3 linked regions of the Alligator mississippiensis genome follow. The protein of the gene in region 1 interacts with the protein of each later gene in a biochemical or structural test. Links are inferred from orthologs where the notes say so. Each region holds a gene or a part of one and is shown in the gene's direction. Other genes may lie near its edges.

What was found.
Region 2: the proteins of CDK1 (region 1) and GADD45A form a complex in vitro, tested with the Homo sapiens proteins (5 studies listed by BioGRID). The link is inferred for Alligator mississippiensis from reciprocal best matches to the Homo sapiens genes CDK1 and GADD45A.
Region 3: of the proteins of CDK1 (region 1) and RPS3, one has a biochemical effect on the other in vitro, tested with the Homo sapiens proteins (2 studies listed by BioGRID, with this or other methods). The link is inferred for Alligator mississippiensis from reciprocal best matches to the Homo sapiens genes CDK1 and RPS3.

Annotation. Positions count from the first base shown.
Region 1 is NC_081829.1:48,176,588-48,184,031, forward strand, and holds the start of CDK1 (cyclin-dependent kinase 1), read left to right. Parts: upstream 1-2,567; 5' UTR 2,568-2,669; intron 2,670-2,714; exon of another isoform or gene 2,715-2,940; intron 2,941-3,232; 5' UTR 3,233-3,252; coding exon 3,253-3,289; intron 3,290-4,537; coding exon 4,538-4,694; intron 4,695-7,444. UniProt on the Homo sapiens protein: Plays a key role in the control of the eukaryotic cell cycle by modulating the centrosome cycle as well as mitotic onset; promotes G2-M transition via association with multiple interphase cyclins.
Region 2 is NC_081828.1:18,318,023-18,325,466, forward strand, and holds the start of GADD45A (growth arrest and DNA damage-inducible protein GADD45 alpha), read left to right. Parts: upstream 1-3,932; 5' UTR 3,933-3,998; coding exon 3,999-4,042; intron 4,043-4,131; coding exon 4,132-4,233; intron 4,234-4,319; coding exon 4,320-4,548; intron 4,549-6,892; coding exon 6,893-7,006; 3' UTR 7,007-7,444. UniProt on the Homo sapiens protein: In T-cells, functions as a regulator of p38 MAPKs by inhibiting p88 phosphorylation and activity.
Region 3 is NC_081824.1:468,418,909-468,426,352, forward strand, and holds the start of RPS3 (small ribosomal subunit protein uS3), read left to right. Parts: upstream 1-2,890; 5' UTR 2,891-2,968; coding exon 2,969-2,998; intron 2,999-4,360; coding exon 4,361-4,491; intron 4,492-5,509; coding exon 5,510-5,603; intron 5,604-7,104; coding exon 7,105-7,199; intron 7,200-7,444. UniProt on the Homo sapiens protein: Component of the small ribosomal subunit. The ribosome is a large ribonucleoprotein complex responsible for the synthesis of proteins in the cell. Has endonuclease activity and plays a role in repair of damaged DNA.

The DNA of each region.
Region 1 (7,444 bases):
AGAACATGACACTGTCACAGAGAAGTTGAAAGACATACAGATCACGGTGCGTTGCTTTATATTAGACACTATAGCCAGCACAGAACCCAGAGTTTTCCAGGAGCCCATAAATCACAGTTTTTTGGAGAATGAGGGCTCCATTCTCCACTTCCCTGCATCTGTTGTAGAAGTTTACACCAGTATGAAATGTGACTACAAACCACCACCTTTTTCAGTATTTTATTTATACTTAAATAAGTAAATGAATAAACAATAAAAGACCTGTCTACATCATGTCCACAGCACTCCTACGGAAGGCCGCTCTTGAACATGGCCTGCTCACCTGCTCTTGCTCATACAGGACACATCTGGAGCCACTGGTGGACACCCCTCATAGCCATTCTCAATGCACCAGACAGAGGTCTTGAGAATGGATGTCAGGGTGAGCACCGAGAGGCTTCACTGCCTATGACAGGGTTTGGTGCATACAAATGAGAGTGTGTGGGTGACACATAGTTGAGAAAGGTCCCCCCTGAAGACACGCTGTAGATATATTCTTAGTAGGTACATTCATAACACTGTCTGAGTAGACAGTATAGAAAGGGGCTGGGGAGGGAAGCAGAGCAGGGGAAGAGTCCAACCTGCTTCTTCAGCTTTATTCGTGGTTTGCCACCTTTCATGCTTTTATCTTCTTGCATGATATTTGGTGTTTTCCTCTGAGTCCCTGCTCCTTACTCCAGGTTATTATAAGAAAATCTTACCCTCCAGTAAAACAGTAAGGTTTATAATTGCATAGAAAAGCATAGCATGACCCCTATACATTCAAAAACTAAGAGGCAAATGAAAAAAAAAAAAATTATATATATATATATATATATATTTTAACACCTTATTATTTTTACATAAATCTTATTACTTGGGGTATCTGACATCCCGGATCTTGTGAATGTTTGAGATGGTCAATAGTGGTACTCCAGTAGCCAAAATAATAAACTCTTGTATCAGATCTAGTAAGATGCCCATGTCTTATTTGATTTTGTATGACCTGTCCTGCAATGAAAGAGAGGATCCTTCAGAATCCAAGCCAGATAGTCTGAGATCTGACAGTTTTATAGAATCATACAAAAAAAAGAGCTAGAAGGGACCTCAGGAGGGTCCTGGTCCAACCCTATGCTCAAGACAAGCTCATATCTGTATAAGCCATTTCATCCAAGTATCTGTCTAGCCTCATTTTGAGAGCTTCCAAGGATGGAGATTTCGCAGCCTTTCAGTGAATTTGTTCCAGTGCTTAATAAGCTTCATAATTAGGGTAGTAGCCAAGGCAGGAGTTGAGGATAAATTTAAATCGCTTGTATACTTTCCAGCAGTCTCACCCCATCTTTACTAGCAGCCATAAGGGCCAGTCTACAGTCAAAACTAGCTAGAGTACAACTGTGCTCCTGGCACTCCCCCCTACATTGGTACTACAGCAGGAGATGGCTGCCCAGGGAACCCCATCTCATTGCTCACAGTGTCTGGGTACCACTTCTAAATAAAAAAAGAGGGTCAATAGTTCTTTAAATAGGTGCACAGACAGCACCTTAAAGAAAAACCTAGGGCTTGGGACACCACATGCCTGCCTATACATGTGCTCCAATGTGTTCTAATTAGATGCATTCTAATTAATTGATTAATCTAATCTGTTGGAGAGTTCCAATTGGAATGCTCTAGCATGCCTCACTGTCATGTGTATTTCAGCATCACACATTTCAAAATGCAGCAGGGGTGCTTTAAGTAAAGCTTGATTGATAAGTTTTAGTTTAAGCACCCCACATGGCTATTTTGAAACATGGGATGCAGAACACATGCAACATTTTAATTACAGCAACTGGCCAGGAGCCACTCTAATTAAAACACCCCTCCTCCCCCCATGCACCTGTATTATTTCCAGCTATCCCAGGTGTCCATGGTGATGTCAACCAAGGCTCTCAGTTTTCCCAGCTTTGTCTACCAAGCTTCAGTGGCCTCAAGGAAGGCAGGGAGGTGAGAGGCCGGCAGGTACTTTCCAGATGTCAGCATCCTTCAAAAGGGTGACAACATTATTAGGCTGTTACAAGGACAAAGGATTCCTGCTCGAGGGATCAGACAGTGCTATGTTGCAGCAGAGGAAGGTGGGGAGTACGACTAGCATCTACATACTTTATTCCTTTGCTCCATTTCTACCCAACTTATGATAATGGAGTTGCTTGACCACCCTCACGAGCAACAACAAATCCGAGCCAGGCTGATAATACCTCCCCAAAATACTCAGGAAACCCCATTCATGCCAGAAGGGAAGAGGCTTTAAAGACTCTTCCCCTGACATAACCCGAAGGAGGGAGGCTTAACAAAGGCTGAAAAATCCAACAGGCTTGGCTTGATTTATCCTCCCGCCCACGCCACTTTCCCACGTTCCCAAAGGGAGAAACAGTAGAACACCGAGTAAAATATTCTCGGTGGCCGCGCCCGACCGCGCACCTCCGAAGTGGCCGCCTTTTCGCTTAGCTTTGGCGCCGACCTTGAGTCGCGCGCTGATTGGCCGCTTTGAATACCTCGGCGCGACGCTATTGGCTGGGCCGGGGCGGCGCCGCGCGGTTAGTTCGAATCGGCCCCGCACAGGCGCGTGCCGCCTCTGGGCTTTGTGCAGCGGCGGTCCCGGGGCAGCCACTCAGGTACGGTCCCGGGGGGATGGATGCCTCCAGCTCTGACACCGACCCACTGGGCCGGGGAGGGCTGGGGGCAGTGTCCCGGGCTCGGCCGCGACCTCTTCCACTGCCTGGTCTTCCCCCCTCGCCCGGCCCCAACAAAGCCGGGCCGGGCGTCCCGTGCGCGGCCTGCGGACACCCCCGCCCTGGGGCCGAGACACGGGGGTGGTGCAGCTAGACACCCCCCCCCGCCAGCGGCAGGGTAGCTGCAGGACGCCCCTTAGAAACTACCGGGTGGGTAAGGAAAGAGCCGCAATCGTGACCCCGCACGGCCCCGGACAGCTCTCCATCAGGCCTAGAACAGTTTGTGACTGGCTGGAAGCCTGGATGGGCACCTTCCACCTTGCCCGGGGTGGGCAGTGGGGATAGTTTCCTCCTGTGCGGGACCGGGTCCTAGCAGATGGTGGACACAACCCCTCCAGTCCCGTTTGGAACTCACCCAACCCAATTTAGTGCTTTACCCCAATCCCGGGGGCCTGGAGACCTGTCCTCAGCTCTCTGGCTCCTTCCTAATTATTTCTTCTTTTAAGGCTAGTCACATTAAGGAGTGATGGACAACTACACAAAAATAGAGAAGATTGGTGAAGGTGGGTAACACAGGATGCATGATCCTTTATGTTGTGTATTTGGATGCAAACTTTTTCAACCCCAAAGGAAGCTTGTTTGGCAGTAGCTGCACTTACTAATTAAGTATGTCTGTCTAGTCCCATGAATATGCTTTCAAAATAGCTCTTGGTTTGGTGGCATTGGGAGCCACCTGAAAATGCAAAGGGCAGTGGCTCTCACACGTCTTAGATTCAAAGCACCCCTCAGAAAATGCCAGCTCTTGGTTTTCACCTGTTCCGTGATTATAGAAAAATAATAGAGCAATTCTGCTGCAAGGATGTTTTTGACACCATGTATTTGAAATCTCTGGGTTTATTTTGTGAATCATGTGCAAGTGTTATGCGGTAGGAACCAGTAACAGGATCTCATGGCCCATCAGGATACGGTGGCATTCTGGTTGGAAATCACTGATATAGCATAGCGAGCAGCTTCCTTCATGTCGATGGTCACTGGTACATGTGTATATAACCCTTTAGTAGCACTTAGGAGGGAAAGAAGAGGAAAGATAGATCTGCTTTTGTACGAGAAGTAGTTGGATCCATGGTTTTGCCCTATAGATTGTGCTGTAAAAGCAGTTGTGACATCCTTTCTAAATTTTTATTTGAGGGCTAAAGTGCAGGAATAAAGGAGTGATATTGTAAGCCATTCCATTACTGATCCCAAGTTTCTTGAAACACTGCATAAACATGCGAAGGTAACTGAAAATAAGTTGTATATTAGTTAAGGAACTCTTACTTTCCTTTTATATCAAGAATGAAGAGAGTTAAAAGTTGAGAACAAAACACTTCAAGAAAAAAGTACTAGGAAAACAATACTTTTTGGAAGTTAATCGAAGAAAGCTGTCCCGAGCAAAAGTCCAGCAATCCTGACTTAAAATAAAACTAGCATCCTCAGTATTCTGATCTGCTCTGTGGTTTGAGTTAATCGAAGAAAGCTGTCCCGAGCAAAAGTCCAGCAATCCTGACTTAAAATAAAACTAGCATCCTCAGTATTCTGATCTGCTCTGTGGTTTGAGTTACAGAGGTAATCCTAAACTTTTAATCTGTTTTTGCCTTAGAGTTTACCAGTGCATATAGCTTGGAGTCAGGCAAAAAATATTTAGATTGTAATATCTGGTTCTGTAGAGAATCACCACAATGCAACAGCCTTATTTCACTTGAAATTATGGTGACCTTGTTTTTTACCTAAATCTTCACAAAGCTGTTTTTCGTATGTCACATTTTTGTCAGGTACCTATGGTGTTGTATATAAAGGCCGACACAAAGCCACAGGCCAGGTGGTTGCCATGAAGAAAATTCGACTAGAAAGTGAGGAGGAAGGTGTTCCCAGTACAGCAATCCGAGAAATTTCCTTATTAAAAGAGCTACATCATCCCAACATAGTCTGGTATGGTATGCATGCAGTATTCTGGCATTTTGCTTTCTCTGTTGAAGAGTACGCACACTCCTATCAATATCCATTCCAATTACTAAGTACTACGGTGAAGTGAGTGGGTTTTACCTTTGCTTCGGATTAGTTGTCATGAGGTTCAGGTTCCTAAAATTACAGATCATGCCTTTCTCTGCAAATCCTTTTCTTAGTCTATCAGTCCCACTCCCTCATCTACCTACCAGTTAGGAGATCTTAGATTTTTCATTTGTCACTGGAATCTGTACAGCAGCTTACAGTGAGAAAAATATTAGATATGACTTGATAAAGGAAGCAGCTGGTGCTGTTCTTCAATCAGCCACATAATCTTCACTGAAAGATTTGGACCACCTTATCTGATCCTAGTGACTAACAATAAGGATGTATTCGAGTCCTAACTTTTGAAAGAAGTTGCTTTGTTTCAACAGCAGACATTTATTAAAATGTAGTTTTAAAGTTTGTTGTGACCCTTGTATGGCTGGTACAAATTAATGAGCTGTGATTTCAAGATATTTCATGGTTTCATACTTGGTTGGGTCGGAAGGGACCTGAGCAGGAAAGAGTACTGGGGTCCATCTAGCCTCCTCTTAAAGACACCCAGGGTAAGAGCCAGCACCACTTCTCTTGGAAGTTGGTTCCAGATCCTAGCCACCCTGACTGTGAAGTAGCACCTCCTGATATCTAGTCTAAATCTACCCTCTGCCAGCTTGTGACCATTACTTCTTGTCACTCCTGGGAGTGCTTGGGGGAACAGGGACTCCCCCAATGCCTGCTGGTTCCCTCTGACTAGTTTGTAAATGGCCACCAGATCCCCCCTCAGCCTTCTCTTGTGGAGGCTGAACAGGTTCAGGTCCCTTAGTCTCTCCTCGTAGGGCCTGCCCTGCTGCTCCAGGTCATGCGAGTGGCCCTCCTCTAGACCCTCTTGATGCCATCCACATCCCTCCTGAAGTGCGGCGCCCAGAACTGGATGCAGTACTCCAACTGTGGCCTGACCGGTGTCACATACAGGGGGAGGATCACCTCCTTGGACCTGCTTGAGCTGCGTCTGTGGATGCATGACAAGGTGCAGTTGGCCTTCCTGACCGCGTCCTCATGCTGTCGGCCCATGTTCGTTTTGGCATCAATAATGACTCCCAAGATCCTTTTCTGCCTCTGCACTGACAAGAAGGGATTTCCCCAGCCTGTAGGTATGCTGCTGGTTCTTCCTCCCCAGGTGCAGTACCTTGCACTTGTCAGTGTTGAAACCCATCCTGTTCTCATCTGCCCACCCCTGTAACCTGTCTAGGTCCGATTGCAGCCTATTTTCCCTTCTAGCGTGCCCGCTTCCCCCCACATCTTAGTGTTGTCTGCGAATTCGAACAGGGTGCTTTTTACCCCCTCATCCAAGTCACTGATGAAGATGTTGAACAGTGCAGGCCCGAGGACTGAGGCCTGCAGAACCCCACTGCCCACCTCCCTCCAGGTTGAATAAGACCCGTCCACCACCACTGTCTGGGTACAGCCCTCCAGACAGTTAGTGACCCTTCTGACTGTGTAGGTGTCAACGCCACAGTCCCCTAGTTTTTTAATGAGAACGGGGTGAGAGACAGTGTCAAAGGCCTTCCTGAAGTCCAGAAAGACTACGTCCACTGCTACCCCTGCGTCTAAGGATTTTGTGACCTGGTCATAGAAGGCCACCAGGTTGTTCTGATAGGACCTGCCTCTAATGAACCCGTGTTGGTTGCCCCTAAGCATAATCTCCCCTACTGGCCCCTCACGGACATGCACCAGGATATTTCTCTCAAAAAGCTTACCCAGGATCGATTTGTTGCTTGACAACGGTGAATTTGTAGAATTGCTTGAGCCTAGAAAATATATATAGTTTTGTCAAATGTTTGCTTAGTCACTCATACAGTACACTGGTTTTTTAGATCTGTTTCAGTCTAGGTGGATTTTTAGTGAGGAGAAAGGCTGACTAGTTGAAATTGAAGGTCTGCATGACTTGCAATTATGAACCACTTTTTAATAGGTGGAAAAAACATAAGAATCGTACAAATCCTGCGTTGAGCTCTGTGTAGGCTTCCGGTTTAATGGAGAGATCTGCTATCTGTGTACAAGCAATGGGCTTCTTAAGCACTTTTCTAATGCCTATGAAAGAACTGTCTTCAGTGGAAGTCCAAGAGTCACGTTAAATAAATACTACCTTATTTCATCATCTTTTTTTTAAAGAAAGCACTGCCTTTATTTGCATGTGTTTTATTTCTCAGCTTCCCAGTTTTTTGTGGTTTATCTAGATCAGTATTTCTTCTAGCTTAGGGGTGCCTATACATGTTTGGAGGTGGGGGGGGACCACAAACCGCTCTAATTTAAATGCTGCAGCATCTTGTGTATTCAGTATCCTATGTTTCAAAATGGTGGTGGGGGCACTTGAACTAAAGCTTGTCCAACAAGCTTTAGTGAAAGTGCCTCCGCTCCTGTGCCGAAGTACAGGATGCTGAATACATGAGACACTGCAGCGTTATAATTAGACTACTCAATTAATCGAATCTGCTCCAGTGCATTCTAATCAACATGTCAGATCAGGTATACAAGCACCCTAGGACAGTGGTTCCCAACCTTTTTAGACCACAGACTGGAAGTGACCATAGACTGAAGAAACTGCGGACTGGCAGCCAACCCTTTTTTATATTGAGCATAAAAAAGGGTTGGCTGCCAGTCCACAGTATGCTAGCCACTTCTGGACTTCCAGT
Region 2 (7,444 bases), on another chromosome or scaffold:
TATGTACATGAGTTGCAGGTCTGTGGATGTCGTATAGACATCCTGTCCCTCAGACAAGCTAGTGGCGAAGTGCGTACAATCCTAGGAAAGTAATTTTAATTGTATGAGCTAAAGAAACCAAATACATGGTATTTCTCATGGGAAGAGGGTCTCTGCTGCAAGATCCCACCTGAAAGGCTCACATGCAACAAGCTGCCTGGAATTGTTAGAGAATGGATGCCCTCTCACAGGCTTGGAGCCATCGGCTGTGTAGGGCATCTACGTTGCAAACCCAAGAGTCTGTCTTTGCTGAGTGGACAGACCCTGAATCTTGGGCTTTAAGAACACACCCTCCACCAGCTATGAGCTAACGTGTCACATGCAATTATTACAACATAGAGAAATAATTTTTGTGAAGGGCAAGGACCTGCAGGACAGAGTTCAGCAATGGCAAAAGATGATGCAATTAGCAAGCGTATGAATCTGGAAACAAGTCTAAGTAAATGTCCCAGGTTCAAGAAACTTAGCTTCCTAAAAACAACCCAAGCTTACTCTAAAACTTGGTGACAAAGACTCCCATGTTCCTGAGAGGAGTATTATGAGGAGGATGTTTCCTAATCCCAGCACTTGGAAGCCCTGAAACTCAGAAGGCCTTGGATGCTGCCGGCCAACTTACATTGTGCAAGTCACGATATTTGATACCTGCTGCACACACCTCTCCACCCACCTTCTTCACTTCCTTCTTGGCACCTCACTAGCATAAGCAGCTGGAAGAGCTGCACAATTATCAATTGTAAAAGGCTTTTCTTAAAACAAATAAAGCTGAGCATGGGGGGGGGGGGGGGTTTACCAGCTACTTATTGAAAGCCACAGATAAAACTATTATGTTATGACAGTGTCTTTTGTTTTCATTGCTGTCAGCTTTCAAGATCCTACTATGAATCTAGCTTTTGTCCAGCTGCTGAAGTCAGGTCTTGGGGTTTTCAATTAAAAAAAAACCAAACAACAAATAAGCATCTGCTACTGAGGTTTGCTGAGAAAAATTGAAAACATGCTATGATTGTAGCCTGAAGTCAACAGCAGGGGTCAGCAATCCCCAGCACGCGTGCCAAGCATGGCACGCAAGGCCATTTTGCTCTGCACACCACTACCAGCCTGGGCTCTAAGCAGCTGCTGCCAGCCACCGAGCCCAGGCTGCTTCCAGCAGGTGGCTGGGAGGCTGCAAGCCCTGCTGCAAGCAGACCAGGCTCTGTGGACTGGCTGAAGCTGGGAGGCTGCAAACAGCTGCTCCGGGCTCCAGCATGTTGGCACTCTGGCACCTTCCAAAGTGACATTGTGGTTTTTTCGGCACTCCAGCCAAAAAATGTTGCCTACCATTGGTCTACAGTCTTGGAAACCAGAAGGCAGATAAAACAAACCCACAACGATTACTTAAAAAAAATCATTAAAAGCACAACTCTTGAATGCGTGGGGTTGCAATACTACACTTACACCATTCTGATCCAGAAGGGAATTCAGAATCACTGAGACAAAGACTGTCCTCCATGACATAAGCATAAGCCTAGAGTGACTCCAGTTACTCCTGTACTAGGCATATCTGTGATTAAACATCCTACAGATCTCCCCAGTTTCGCAATGAAATGCAGCTGTCCTGCATTTCACTGTCTTTCCTTTCAGGCACAAATTCCCACTTGTCCCACCCAACACTGCAAGGTCACTTTTTATCTTAGTAAATTATTGACATAAGGAATTCTGACTTAGGCAACATAAATGATAGAAATGTTATACCTGTGCTGAAGCAGGGGCACCCAAACGTATATCACAGAGATACACTGGCAATTGACAGTGGGCCAAGGACTGGTTCTAACTTGTGTGTCGAGCTTAAGTCCCTCAGTGCAAGACTTAAAATGATGTGCAGTTTATTACTTCCTACCAGAGCTGCCCATTGCATGACATGGCTGTTCATGGGGCACTGAAATGCATCTCTGCTTTCCCCTTGACAGGAGAAAGAGAGGTGAATTCAACTGACAGGCTGTTGCAGTTTCACTCCTAAGGAAGAATAAATTCAGGCAAAGCCGAAGGCAACATACTTTTATATTTCCAACGGGTGGAGTTCTTCTTTAAACAGGTCTTGCCCTGAGCACATGACTTAAATGTCATCTCGCAGATTTATCTCTGGACTCCCCCATGCCCTTCTGCTTTAGGCTAGGTACAAAGATTTCTGCCATTTCCGTTTTATGAATCAGCACTTCTTACGTCACTAACTTGCTATAACAAATGTGAGGTGGCACCTTTGTCTGGTGAACTGGTGTCTACAATGAGGGAAAGTTGAGAGCTGCACTTCAGTGGGAACAATTTACAGTGACCCCATGCATTTAATGTAGGAGTTTGCTTTGTTCCTAGTTCCTAGCTATTGCTTTACCTTTGGTTACACCCTACATGAGGGAGACAAGATTTCCAAAGCGTGGCTGGGTTTGGAGATGCTAGAGCTCTCCCATGCAGCATCTTCCAGGGTAGAGAGCAGTGCTTACACACCCCAGTGTTCACTTCAATTCTGCCCTCTGGGCTTGCCCCTTGCATCCCCAATTTTGTTTTCTCTTTTAGGCTTTAATCTTTTTACATTTTTTCTCCCTTCCCTTGTCCCAAGTGTATTCCTTGTTGCTTCTGCCTTATTCCCCTGAGTCCTTTGCCCCTTGCTTCTCTCCCTCCAAGAGAAAGAAGTGCTGCCAGTGCCCACCATCTCTTCACACCCCCTCAAGCCTCGCAGTCTTCTCCCATCCTCAGTGTCTTTTTCTTGCCCTGCCTCATCTCAGGGTGGCCAAAGGACGAAGGACACATCCTGCTGGGGGAATGAGGTCCTGGGAACAGGAATGGAAAGAAGGAACCTAGAAAGGGGGTCGAGGTCCAGAATTTGGCTGGGGATTAGAAGTGTAGGAGACCCCACAATGGAGCAGCTGGGCTGGAAAAAGGGGGTCAGGACTGGCGCTGCTGCAGAGCAGGCAGGGAATGACACTAGGCAGCGTGCAGCCAAGTGCTGTAGGGTCACGGCTGCCAGTCAGCTTGTGCACAAACCCCTGGATCTACTCATAGCCCCAATTTTTCAGCAGAACCTGGGGCTGACCCAGCCCGAACACAGCAGGCCCCATAAACTGGAAGATCCCCAGTAACCCAGGCGCTACACTCCCCCCATCTGTAACCCGACTGCTGCCAGCAAAGGGCGAACGTGTGAGATGTTGCACCGGCTCATACAGAGTAGTGCCGCAGCGCTCAACGTTTGCAGGCCTAGCTAATTGGGGGCTGATCTGCGGGGTGCAGAGCCAGCTGCCATTTGCCGTACTTTATGCTGCTGACTTCAGCGCAGCTGCCACTTTCCCTCAGCAACACACCTGGCCACAAGTTTCTAGTAATTTCTGCTTCTCTGCTACTTTTTTGTCTGTGAGAATTGACGGCTGAGACCTGACTTCCATTTGGACTGGATCTGAAGGGTAGCACTTCAGGGTCGCCCCCCGCTCTGCCTCCTTCAGGGTCTGCAGAAGCTTGGAGCAAAGTCCCTGCACCCCACAGATGTTGTCTGAGGGGAAGGCGAGGCTGCCAGTGGTGCTGAGCACCTGCTGCTACTTTTGAGGCAGGGGGAGCTGTGAGCGTTCAACCCCTTTGCAAGCCAGGCGAGCCACGCAAGTGCAGCGCCTGGGCCCCTCCCCACAGCATGACAAGAGCGGTCCCCACTGCAACCCTCAGCGCTGGGGCACGCGTGATTGACAGCTCCCCACCGCACCGGCCTCCCAGCCCTCCAATCAGCCAGCAGAGAAAAAAAGAAAAAGAAAAAAGCCCCCCCCCCCGCCCTCCTCTCGCACTGGCCGGGGCCGCACAAGGTCAAGTCGAACACGGGACACATTTGCATGACCCAATGGGGCGGCCGCATGCAAATGAGGGAGGAGGCGGTTGGCTGGGTGTTGGCAGGAGAAGTCCCGCGGGCCGCCCCGCTCCCTCAGAGCCGGCGCCGCGGCGCGAGGTGAGCGATGACGCTGGAGGAGCCGGGCGGACCGCGCCGCAGCCGGGCCAGGTAGGGGGGCGCGGGGCGCGCGGGGGGCGCGGGTTCGAGCTCGGGTCCCGGCGCCGCCGGCTCTGATGGCGCTGGCGCTGCCCCCTCAGGATGGAGACGGCGGGCTCGGCGCTGCAGGAGGTGCTGAGCAAGGCGCTGAGCCAGCGGAGCGTCACCGTCGGCGTCTACGAGGCGGCCAAGCTGCTCAACGTGTGAGTGCCCTGCCCCTCCCCCCCCCCGCACCCCCCTGTCCCCGGCCCCGGCCCGGCGGCGCGGGCTGAGCGCGGTCTCCCCGCAGGGACGCGGAGCGCGTGGTGCTCTGCCTGCTGGCCGCCGACGAGGAGGACGCGCGGGACGTGGCGCTGCAGATCCACTTCACGCTGCTGCAGGCCTTCTGCTGCGAGAACGACATCAGCATCCTGCGCGTCAGCAACCCCGCGCGCCTCGCCGAGCTGCTGCGCCTCCCGCCGCCCGGCGCCGGCCCCGGCCTCGACCCGCCCGCAGACCTGCACTGCGTGCTCGTCACGGTAGGCAGCGCACGGCCAGGGAGGGGAAGGGAAGGGGCTCCACCTGCGGGGGCGGGGTCCCCAGGGCCCGTGCGCCCGCCCCGACCTGCTCCGTGTGTGTGTGCGCGCACACGTGTCTACCTGGTTAGTCTGCAAGGTGTGCCTGCGTGTGTCTACCTGGTTCACCTGCAAGGTGTGCGCATGTGTGTGTGCCTGGTTAGTCTGCAAGGGGTGTGCGTGCGTGCATGCATGGGTGTGTATATGTGCGTGTCTACCTGGTTAGTCGGCAAGGTGTGCCTGCGTGTGGCTACCTGGTTCACCTGCAAGGTGTGCATGCATGTGTCTACCGGGTTAGTCTGCAAGGGTTGTGTGTCTACCTGGTTAGTCTTCAAGGTGTGCCTGCATGTGGCTACCTGGTTCACCTGCAAGGTGTGCACGCATGTGTATGCATGTGTGTACCTGGTTAGTCTGCAAGGGGTGTGCGTGCATGTGTGTGTATGCATGTGTCTACCTGGTTAGTCTGCAAGGTGGGCCTGCGTGTGGCTACCTGGTTCACCTGCAAGGTGTGCATGTGTGTGTATGCATGTGTCTGCCTGGTTAGTCTGTGCATGTGTATATGCGTGTGTCTACCTGGTTAGTTTTCAAGGGGTGTGCCTGTGTATGTATATGCATGTGTCTACCTGGTTAGTCTGCAAGGTGTGTCTACCTGGTTCACCCACAAGGTGTGCATGTACCTGGTTAGCCCGCAAGGTGCGTGTGTGTGTATGCATGCAGACTAACCAGGTAGACGCATGCAAGGCGTGTGTGTGAGTGTGCATCTCTACCTGGTTAGTCTGCAAGGCGTGTGTGCACGCATGTCTACCTGGTTAGTCTGCAAGGCGTGTGTGCACGCATGTCTACCTGGTTAGTCAGCAAAGTGCTAGTTTCTCCTGCCTCTGCCAGTCCCCTGCGTAGCCACCCAAGTGACTGCCCTCTCCAGCTGGCAGCCGAAGCACAGGACACTTGCCAGCACAGAGACACTTTGCTGGTGCTGCTGCTTCAGCAGGGGGCCCATTCCCGCTCTTCACCTGAGTACAGCTGGGTTTGCCCTCAACATAACCTTCAGATTGGGTTTCCAACAGGCTCCAAACTTTAGGAGTTTCACCCTGGAAAGGTTTCAGCTCGGCCCACTTTAAACTTGGATCTGAGTTTGGATTTGCAGCTGGGATTTTGGATCAGGCCCCTCTGCAGTTGGGACTGAGGTGCCCTTTCCTCTACTTACCTGTACCAAGGACTTACATCAGAGCTGCTCCCGATTTGATTATAGAGATTTTTTCCCACTTTTATGGACATGTTCAAACATGTTAGATCCTGTCAGCAGCAGGAGTGAGCCCTGTGAGTCACCTTGTTAGGGCAGCTGGGGTATTTATATTTGTCTTTCCTCATTACTGGATTAGATAAGCAGGTTGGATTGCTTTTGGCAGAAAAGGGTAGGCCAGGAGGAACTTTCTTTAAAGGTTCTGGGGAGGATTACTTTAAAGGTGCTAAATGATGTGATAATAATACTTCAAGTCAAGCTATTTTATAAACTGAAAGCTAGTTGTGGACAAAAACAGGGGAATTGCTCCAATTCTGTTTGGACAGGGTAAAACACATTTAAAAAGTAAAGTTCCTATTTTGAAATTTCTTCTTAAGGAAAAAAAAGCAAGCTCTAAAGAGTCCTGTTCCAGCCAAATTACATCTCAAACAAGCAGACAAAGCAGTGAATGTTCCTTTAAAAGTTCTTGGCCTGCAGAGGGAGACAGCTTTAGATGCAATACTTGAGAACTGTGCATCGCACCTAAAGGAAGCTGGTAAAAAGAATACAGCTACAATAGCCTGAGATGGATATTGCAACTTTCATTGAAATCAGGGGGATTTTTGTGCAAAAAGATATGGCAGTCAATAACCCATGACATACAATCTTGCATTTCAGTTAAGAGACCAGGTTCTGTGTGAAGTGTATTTGTGCGCACATATGAGAGAAGCCCAATTAATGAATAGACAATAGAATTAAAACAGAATTTAAAGACACAAGAAGGATGGCAGCATCTACCACGAGTTTAAAATACTCTGACCCTCAACCACAGCGATATCGTGAAACCCTTAAAATCCTTATTCAGGTTTTAAATATTATATTCCTGCATACAGATAGGACTGCAAGAAACCTGTAAAAGGCTTGAGAAGACTTCACCTGTTGCAAACTAAAATGAATTCAAGGAAAGAGGGTAGTTTTAGGATTGGATGTGAATAGTTGCATTACAATAGCGCTCTTTAATTATTTTTACACTAATCATTTGAAACCAGTCACAGTTTTTTGTTTTAAAATCAACTCTGTCTTTTCCAGAACCCCTATGCTTCTCAGTGGAAGGATCCAGCACTGAGTCAGCTAATGTGCTTTTGTCGTGAAAGTCGCTACATGGATCAGTGGGTTCCAGTGGTTAATCTCCCTGACCGGTGATGGCATTTGGATGTAAACGAACTGAACAAAATTGCACTGAAGTTCTAAAATACTTTAGCAGTTGCTCAGGAAGTAACTCCCTACCCTGACACAAGGATTACAAAAAACAAAACAAGCTGATGTCAAGTGGGTTAGACTGAAGTTGAACTACACGTTGTGTGGGACAGAAGAAGTGGACTCTGCAGTGGAAAAGTGATGGGAAAGGAAGTGGAAGCTGAAAGCGTATTAAACAAGCGTCATGAAAAAAACTAAAAATAGCAAGAAGATGTAAGGTGCTGTATGCTTGAGTTACTTGCAGACTATGCCAAATACCTTTGAGTTTCATGAGTGCAACTTGTAGTTTCTCATTTAAAACACCTTTAGCGTGAAAAGAGCAAAAAGGTTTAATCAAAACATTTAAAACCATTTTATCGTATTTTGGAATGTTGATTTTCAAGG
Region 3 (7,444 bases), on another chromosome or scaffold:
AGTCAGTCTTACCTCTATTCCTGGGAAAATGCTAGAGAAAATAATCAAAGAACACATTTGTGCCGGCCCAGCAGGGGAAATGATGCTGAGGGGAAACCAGCACGGGTTTGTCACAGGTAGATCCTGCCTGACAAACCTTGTAGCCTTCTATGACCAGGTCACACACTGCCTGGACGCGGGAGCCGAGGCTGATGTCATCTTCCTGGACTTTAGGAAGGCCTTCGACACAGTCTCGCACCCTATCCTCATTGGGAAGCTAGCAGACTGTGGAGTGGACGCCTGCACGGTCAGGTGGGTGGCCAACTGGCTTAGGGACCGCACCCAGAGAGTGGTGGTGGATGGGTCCTTCTTGGCCTGGAGGGAAGTGGGCAGTGGGGTCCGATAACACCACGCTGAAAGAAGCCTCGACGGCAGACTCCAGCACCTGTGGGATAGGTATACCTGACTCTTGTAGCTCGCTACTCTGTGTGTGTGTGTGTGTGTGTGTGTGGGCGGGGGGGGGGGACCAGCCCCAAGATTTATGATTTAACTTCATTACAGTGTTTCAATCCGCCTAATAAATCAGAATTTTAAGGATCCTGAGTTGGACATTTGTAGCCAACATCACCTAGCTGGGAGGTCTTCAAGAAGAGGCTAGATAGTCACCTGGCTGGGGTCATCTGACCTCAGTCCTCTTTCCTGCCGGGGGACACGATGATCCATTGTGGTCCCTTCTGACCCTACAATCTATGAATCTATGAATCTATGTGCAATGTATCTCTCTGGAGGAGTGTCCTTGCTGGGTGAAAGCCTTTTTAAGATTGGTGAGGTGGCGATCCCAGGTGTTCTCTTCAGTGCAAATGCGGTGGGATCTGAGGGCTTGGCTGTATATCACAGCTTTCTTGGTGCATGTGGGGTGATTGCTGGTTCTGTGCAGATATGCATGTTGGTCTGTTTCTTGTATACTGTGGTCTGTATTTTACCATTCTGAATCCTGATCATCGTGTCTAAAAAGGAGCTGTTGGTGCTGGAGTATTCGAGAGAACGTTGGATGGAGGGATGACGATTGTTAAATTTCTGATGGAACTCAATCAGAGATTGTACGTTTTCAGTCCAAATGATGAAGATGTCATAGATATATCTTAAATATAGCAAGGGTTTGCGGGTGCAGTTCTTCAGGAAGTCTTCTTCCAGGTGGCTCATAAAAAGGTTGGCATACTGTGGGGCCATTTTGGTGCCCACAGCTGTTCCCATCATCTGGAGGAAGTGTTGGTTATTAAAAGTTAAATTGTTGTGTGTGAGGATGACATGTATAAGGTCAGTAATATCTTTGGGTCTGTAACCTGAGTTGTAATCTTGTTCCTGTAGATATGTAAGGCAGGCGTGGATGCCATCCTGGTGTGAGATGTTGGTGTATAGGCTGGTAACGTCCATGGTGGCTAGGAGTGTGTTGCTGGGAAGGTGGTCTATGTGTTTAAGTTTCTGTAGAAAGTCTGTGGTGTCTTGTACAAAACTTGCTCTGTGGGTGGCAAGTGGTTTTAGGATTGATTCAACGAAACCTGATATTTCCTCAGTTAGGGTCCCATGGTTGGATATGATAGGTCTGCCAGGGTTCCCTTGTTTGTGGATTTTAGGGAGCATGTAAAAAGTCCCTGGGTTAGGTAGCGGGGGGATCAAGGTCTGTAGTTTTTCTTGTAGTCTTGATGGAAGTAAGGCGTGAGGAGATAAGTAGACAAGCTAAGCAAATAAACCCGATTCAGGCTTGTCCCTGCCTTTACAATTCCCCCACCTCCACTGCCCAGCCCCTCTGTAAGGACGCCAACACTAATATATGAATTCTGCTTTTAACATTGGGTGTCACTTGATTCACAAAGTTAATGGGGGGCGGGGTCCAGAAAGGTTGAGAACCACTGAACTAACCAAAGTAGATCTAGCTGTCTATCTATCGATCTACTTTGGGGTGTGTGTGTATGTGTGTGTATATGTGTATATATATATATAGAGAGAGAGAGAGAGAGAGAGAGATTGTGTGTATATAGTGTGTGTGTGTGTATGTGTGATGCATATATAGTGTGTATGTGATCTTTAGTATGAGTGTATGTGTAATGCATATATAGCGTGTGAGTGAGATCTTTAGTCTGGGGGTTTGGGGGTGTGCAATGCCTATAGCGTGTGTGCAATGCACAGATATACTATGTGTGCACATGTGCAGTGCATATAGTGTGCGCATGTGCGCAATGCATAGTGTGCGCAATGCATGTATAGTGTGCACGTGTGCGCAATGCATAGTGTGCATGTGTGCAATGCATATATATAGTGTGTGTGCAAGGCAGTGTGTACATGTGTGCAACGCATATATATATATATATAGTGTGCACGCAATGCATATATAGTGTGTGCATGTGTGCAATGCATAGTGTGTGTGTGCCTGTGTGCAATGCACAAATATATATAGTGTGTGTGTGTGTGTGTGTGTGTGTGTGCAATGCATACAGAGTGTGTGTGTGACCTTTAGCTAGTCTGCGCAGTTGCAGTCTTCCCCGTGCAGCCCCGCGCCCACAGGCAGGCATCAGCACTGCCCTGCACAGCGCCCGCCTGTTCCGCCACACCCGGAAGTAGCCGCTTGTCCAACCCCTAGTGAATGCCACACTTCCTGAAAATGGACACTCTACATCTGCGGGAGGACTTGCTCTATGGCAGTGGGTGAACCAAGCCTTTAAACCCAAACCAAACGCGTGAAGCTGCGTGTGCGCGCGGGGCCTTGCACGTGATGAGCCCCGGGTGCGAATTCACCCCGCGCGCCGTCACCACGGGCACGCTGCGGGGCTGGCACCCTAGGCTGAAGGCTTGTCCTGGAGAGACTACATTTCCCAGCAACCCCCGCTCCCCTCGGCCCACGTGATCTCTCTCGCTCAATGGGAAGCAGCGACGGGGTTTATATTTCCCCTCGGGAGCGGCGGGCCCTTCTTTTCCCAGCCGGCGCGGGAAGATGGCGGTGCAGATCTCCAAAAAGCGCAAGGTGGGCGCCGCGGGGCGGGTTCCCGGGCTCGCGGGGCGGGGCCATATCGGCGGGGCCGGGCGCGGCGGGGGCCCGGGCAGGGTTTGGGGTCGGGAGTGGCGGGGACAAGGCGGCGGCGGGGGCGGATGGAAGCGGATGGAGGCTCGGCCTGGCCTGGCCGGCAACATGGCGGCTCCTTGCATCTTGTGTGGGAGGGGGGATTACGTAGGGGGGTTACGTAGGTGGGGGAGGGGGGCTGCAGCGCGTGGGGCAGAGCGCGCTTGCACGTGTGTCCGGGGTGCAGCTCTGCCTCCCCCAGCGGGGCCAGGGCTCTGCTGCACCCCCTGGGCCCGGGCAGGTGCTCTGGGTGCAGCCCAGGGAGCCCTTCCCCAGGTGCACGCACCAGCTGAGCGTGGCGGGAAGTGGTCGGGTCCTATCTGTGTCTGGGTGACTTCAGCAGCAAGCAGGTTGCAGAGGAGATGGGTCCTACGAAACGTAACCCCGAGCGCATGTTAGCTGCCCAGCGGGTGCCGTTCCAGTCTGGAAGTCTTTCGAGGATAGTTGAACCTTAAAATCCAGTTTGGCCAGCACTGTTTAGGAAGTCGTTCGATAGTGGTTATACATCCGCTCGTTCTGGAGCAGCCCGAGTGCAAGCCGGTGCTGGAAGGAAGCGACCTGCTCCTAAAGTTATGCTGACCGGCGTGTTTTCCGGGGTTATTGCCACCCAAGGTTTGCAGAGAACAGCAGCGCAGTGATCCAGGGTGGCCCTGCCGGCCTCCTCAATCGGGTCCTGAACTGAGAGCATTTCATAGAGAAGTGGGAGCTGGTAGAGATGCGCAGGCGTCGTGTCCAGTCCGACCGCCTGCATGAAGCGAGATCCTCCATGTTCAAACAGTGCTGTCCAGTCTAAAGTTGACATAAGACTGTCTACCCTGATACCTAGCACCCTAACTTGTCGTAGGGAAAGCAGGGGAGCCGTGGTGGTCGATGCCCTGCTTCTGTGAAATGTTAGTGTACGCTTAAGAGATCCCAGGTAGATGGCTGTGCCCTCACTTCAGAGAAGGCAACCCACTTCCCGCCCAGTCTATACTGGCTTGACCACGGGGTAAAATTCCTTCCTGACACCAAATTTGACAATCAGTCTGATCCTGAGCAGAGGGGCAAGAAAGACCCTCTAACCAGGAGCCTCTGGCTCTGGTCCCAGCAGGAGCATTGACACAGTTGGAGCCCAGTCGGAGTCCCCAGCTTTGATTGTAACCAGAGGAAGGCTTAAAAAACACCCTGCCATATGTAGCAGAAAGCAGGGGGTAGGAAGGAGAACGAGCAAAACAACACAGTCGGTTTTGTTGAGCAGAGTTTGACCAGGTCTGTTTCCTTTTCTAGTTCGTGGCGGATGGTATCTTCAAAGCCGAGCTGAATGAGTTTCTGACTCGTGAACTGGCCGAAGATGGGTACTCCGGAGTAGAGGTCAGAGTGACTCCAACCAGGACTGAAATTATCATCCTGGCTACCAGGTGAGGGAAGCGTGCTTTGAGCTCTTTGATGCTGTTTAGAGTTGTGTTTGACTCTTGTCTGTGTGTTTCGTTTCTTTGGGAAGGTGGCAAAAAGAAATTACAGGAAGAAATTAAGGCAACCCTCTCCCCTCACCACCAGTCAATATCAATTTGACCATGGGGTAGAAGTCCTTCGTGACCCCAAATACACTGATCAGTGTGACCCTGAATGGAGGGGCGAGACTAGCCAGGAACAGGCCTCTGGTTTTGATCCCAACAGGAGCATTGGCATGGCCCGGTCACAGAGGGCATTTTTACACGTGCGAGCACTGCGGTGCCGGGTGCTTTGAAAAGTCCTCGACACTGCGAGGCTTGCAGTTGTGTAAGCGGTGAAACGTGCATCAGCACTGAGAAAATAGCGGTGGTGCGCTTTTGAACTAAAACACATCGGAGGCGCTGTAGTTCAAAAGCGCACCACCGATGTTTTCTGTGTGCTGACGTGGATTTTGCCACTTACACAACTGTATGTGACACAGCACAGTTTGCCTCCGCTTGCATGCAGAGCAGTTTCGATTAATTGAGTCTGCTCCGAAGCAGCGAATCTCCGGCTTTTGCAGGACAAAGAAGTATGTGTATAAATGCCCAGAAGGCTTAAAAAACCACCCTGCTACGTATAGCAGAAAGGGAGTGCAGGGATGACCACCACTGGGAAGGCGGCAAACAGAAATAATGGGAGGAAATTAAGGGAAGACTATTGGCTATTAGGAAAACCTTCCTGGAAATGAGAGTAAGTAGCAGGATTGTCTTTCAAAAAATAATAGATACCCGATTCTGATCGGTCACTTAAAACTGGACTAAAGCAAACACTAACACTTGGATCGGATCATTAAAGGTTTTCATGTGTTGGATTCTGTTGACGTTCATGGAAGTTAAGTGACAGGCATTGAAGGTAGCTTTGATCTAGGTTATGTTCTGTAAAACAATATGTTCAGTTTCAAATCCAGGTTGTAATAATATGTCTATTCTTTTTTCTTCACAGAACTCAGAATGTTCTGGGTGAAAAAGGTCGCCGTATCCGTGAGCTGACGGCTGTTGTGCAAAAGAGGTTTGGCTTTCCTGAGGGAAGTGTTGAGGTGAGTTTCTTCTGTTTTGTTGATGCTTTAAAATGGGCCTTGCTTTTGCTTTATATTCAAATGGGTTGGATAACAGTTTAAAGGGCACCCATTTGAAAAGCTGGTGTCTGTTGGCAGATGTTTTGCCCATTGTCATGGCCACAACTATTAGTTATAGTTCTGAAAGATTAGCGAATGCTCTTCTTGTTGCGGATGTTGCCTTGTTTCCTGAATTTGCTACAGTGATCGTTACCACTTAATGCTTCTGCCTCGAAGCACGCTGCCATGGCGTGTCCTTGAGCATTTGCCTGGGGAAAGTAGGGCAGACAGTCCTGACCTAGAGTATGGAAATCAGCCTGGCTGAAGTGCTAACACAATGCTGGTTTCTTGCTATAGCTCTTTAACAGGAGTAAGTAACTCTGTGTTATAGTTCAGGAGTCAAATGCTATGCCTTGGCCACACTAGTACTTTAGGGGTCTGAAGCTCATTGAATTCTAAATAAATAGGTATTGCACAAATAAGAAACATCCAGCATTACACTTAGCCAGGATTAAAATGCTTGAGCATCAATTATCCAGCTTTTATGGAGCTTTGAAAGCTTCCTTGGTCAGTAGGATTAGCCCATGACTGTCCCCATGGCCGACTGGTGCCTCCCCGGGGCGGGCACCAGATCGCCGATGGAGGGGTCTCCAGTGACTGATCGCCGAGCCAGTGGCTAAACTGGGAGTGCACTTCCAGTTTCGTGGCTGGCGCTTCCAGTGGGTGCGTGTGCACCTGCTATGCATTGCCAACGACCATCCCCTTCATTGTTCTTTGGACTGTCCTCTGAAGCATCTGGTACTGAGTATGGCAGGTGGTGCTGGACTGGATTGGCAGCCAGCTGGTGGGATCTCTTAAGACAAGTCTATTTTCCACACTGCACAAGTCTTAACAGCTTAGAGATTTTAAAGAAGCTGCCTTAGGATGAGTGTATGGCTCCACCATTGAGGCTCACCGTATGCATTACCTTAATAAGTCTGCTTGCAACTTCATATTTTGACCATGATTTTTTTTTTTTAAATTAAGTTTTCAGTCATCGCAGCATGCGGGCAATGTCTGCAGGTTGCTTCTGCAAGCACTGCCAGGCATTCCAGGCCCCCTTGGAAGATAACATCACCAATGTAGTCTGAACTTGGACACATTGGAAAGATTACATCTCCAAGGCTGTCGGATGCTCTAGGCACGCTTGGGTAGGAAGCACCTCCTGGACTGCACTAGGCATGTCTTGATGGGCCGTCAGATGACGCTAGGATGCTTCAAAGCAAGGAGTAGAAGACAAGCAGCAAAGCCCTTCAAAGCCTCAGTGCAGTGTGTATGGGTAAAGATCCTGCAGATGTGTAAGTATCAGGAACTAACTGGGTTACCGGGTGTTATAGAGAGGAGCACAGAGGTTGATATGGAGCTCTGGTAGCTTGTATGCAGGACAACATCATCTGTAAATGGTTGCAGTCCCATTTTCTGAGCACCTTGTTCTGTTTTGCAGCTCTATGCTGAGAAGGTGGCCACGAGAGGCCTGTGCGCTATTGCCCAAGCAGAGTCACTGCGCTACAAACTTTTGGGAGGCTTAGCAGTGCGTCGGTAAGTAAGATGTGTAATGCATATTCCATGGATGTAGTAGGGTAGACAAGTGACACGGGGCTAGGAATATAGTGTTGAGGAAAATCCCAAACACCATCTTTTATTCCTAAATTTGGTCTCTAATGGGCTACCTGGATGAGGATAAACTTCATCTTTGTGGTGTCAGCCATATATATAATGCTTCTAATTAGACCCTCTTGGTAAGAAATGAGGTTGAAAGTAAATTCCAAAGAATGGAGCATTGG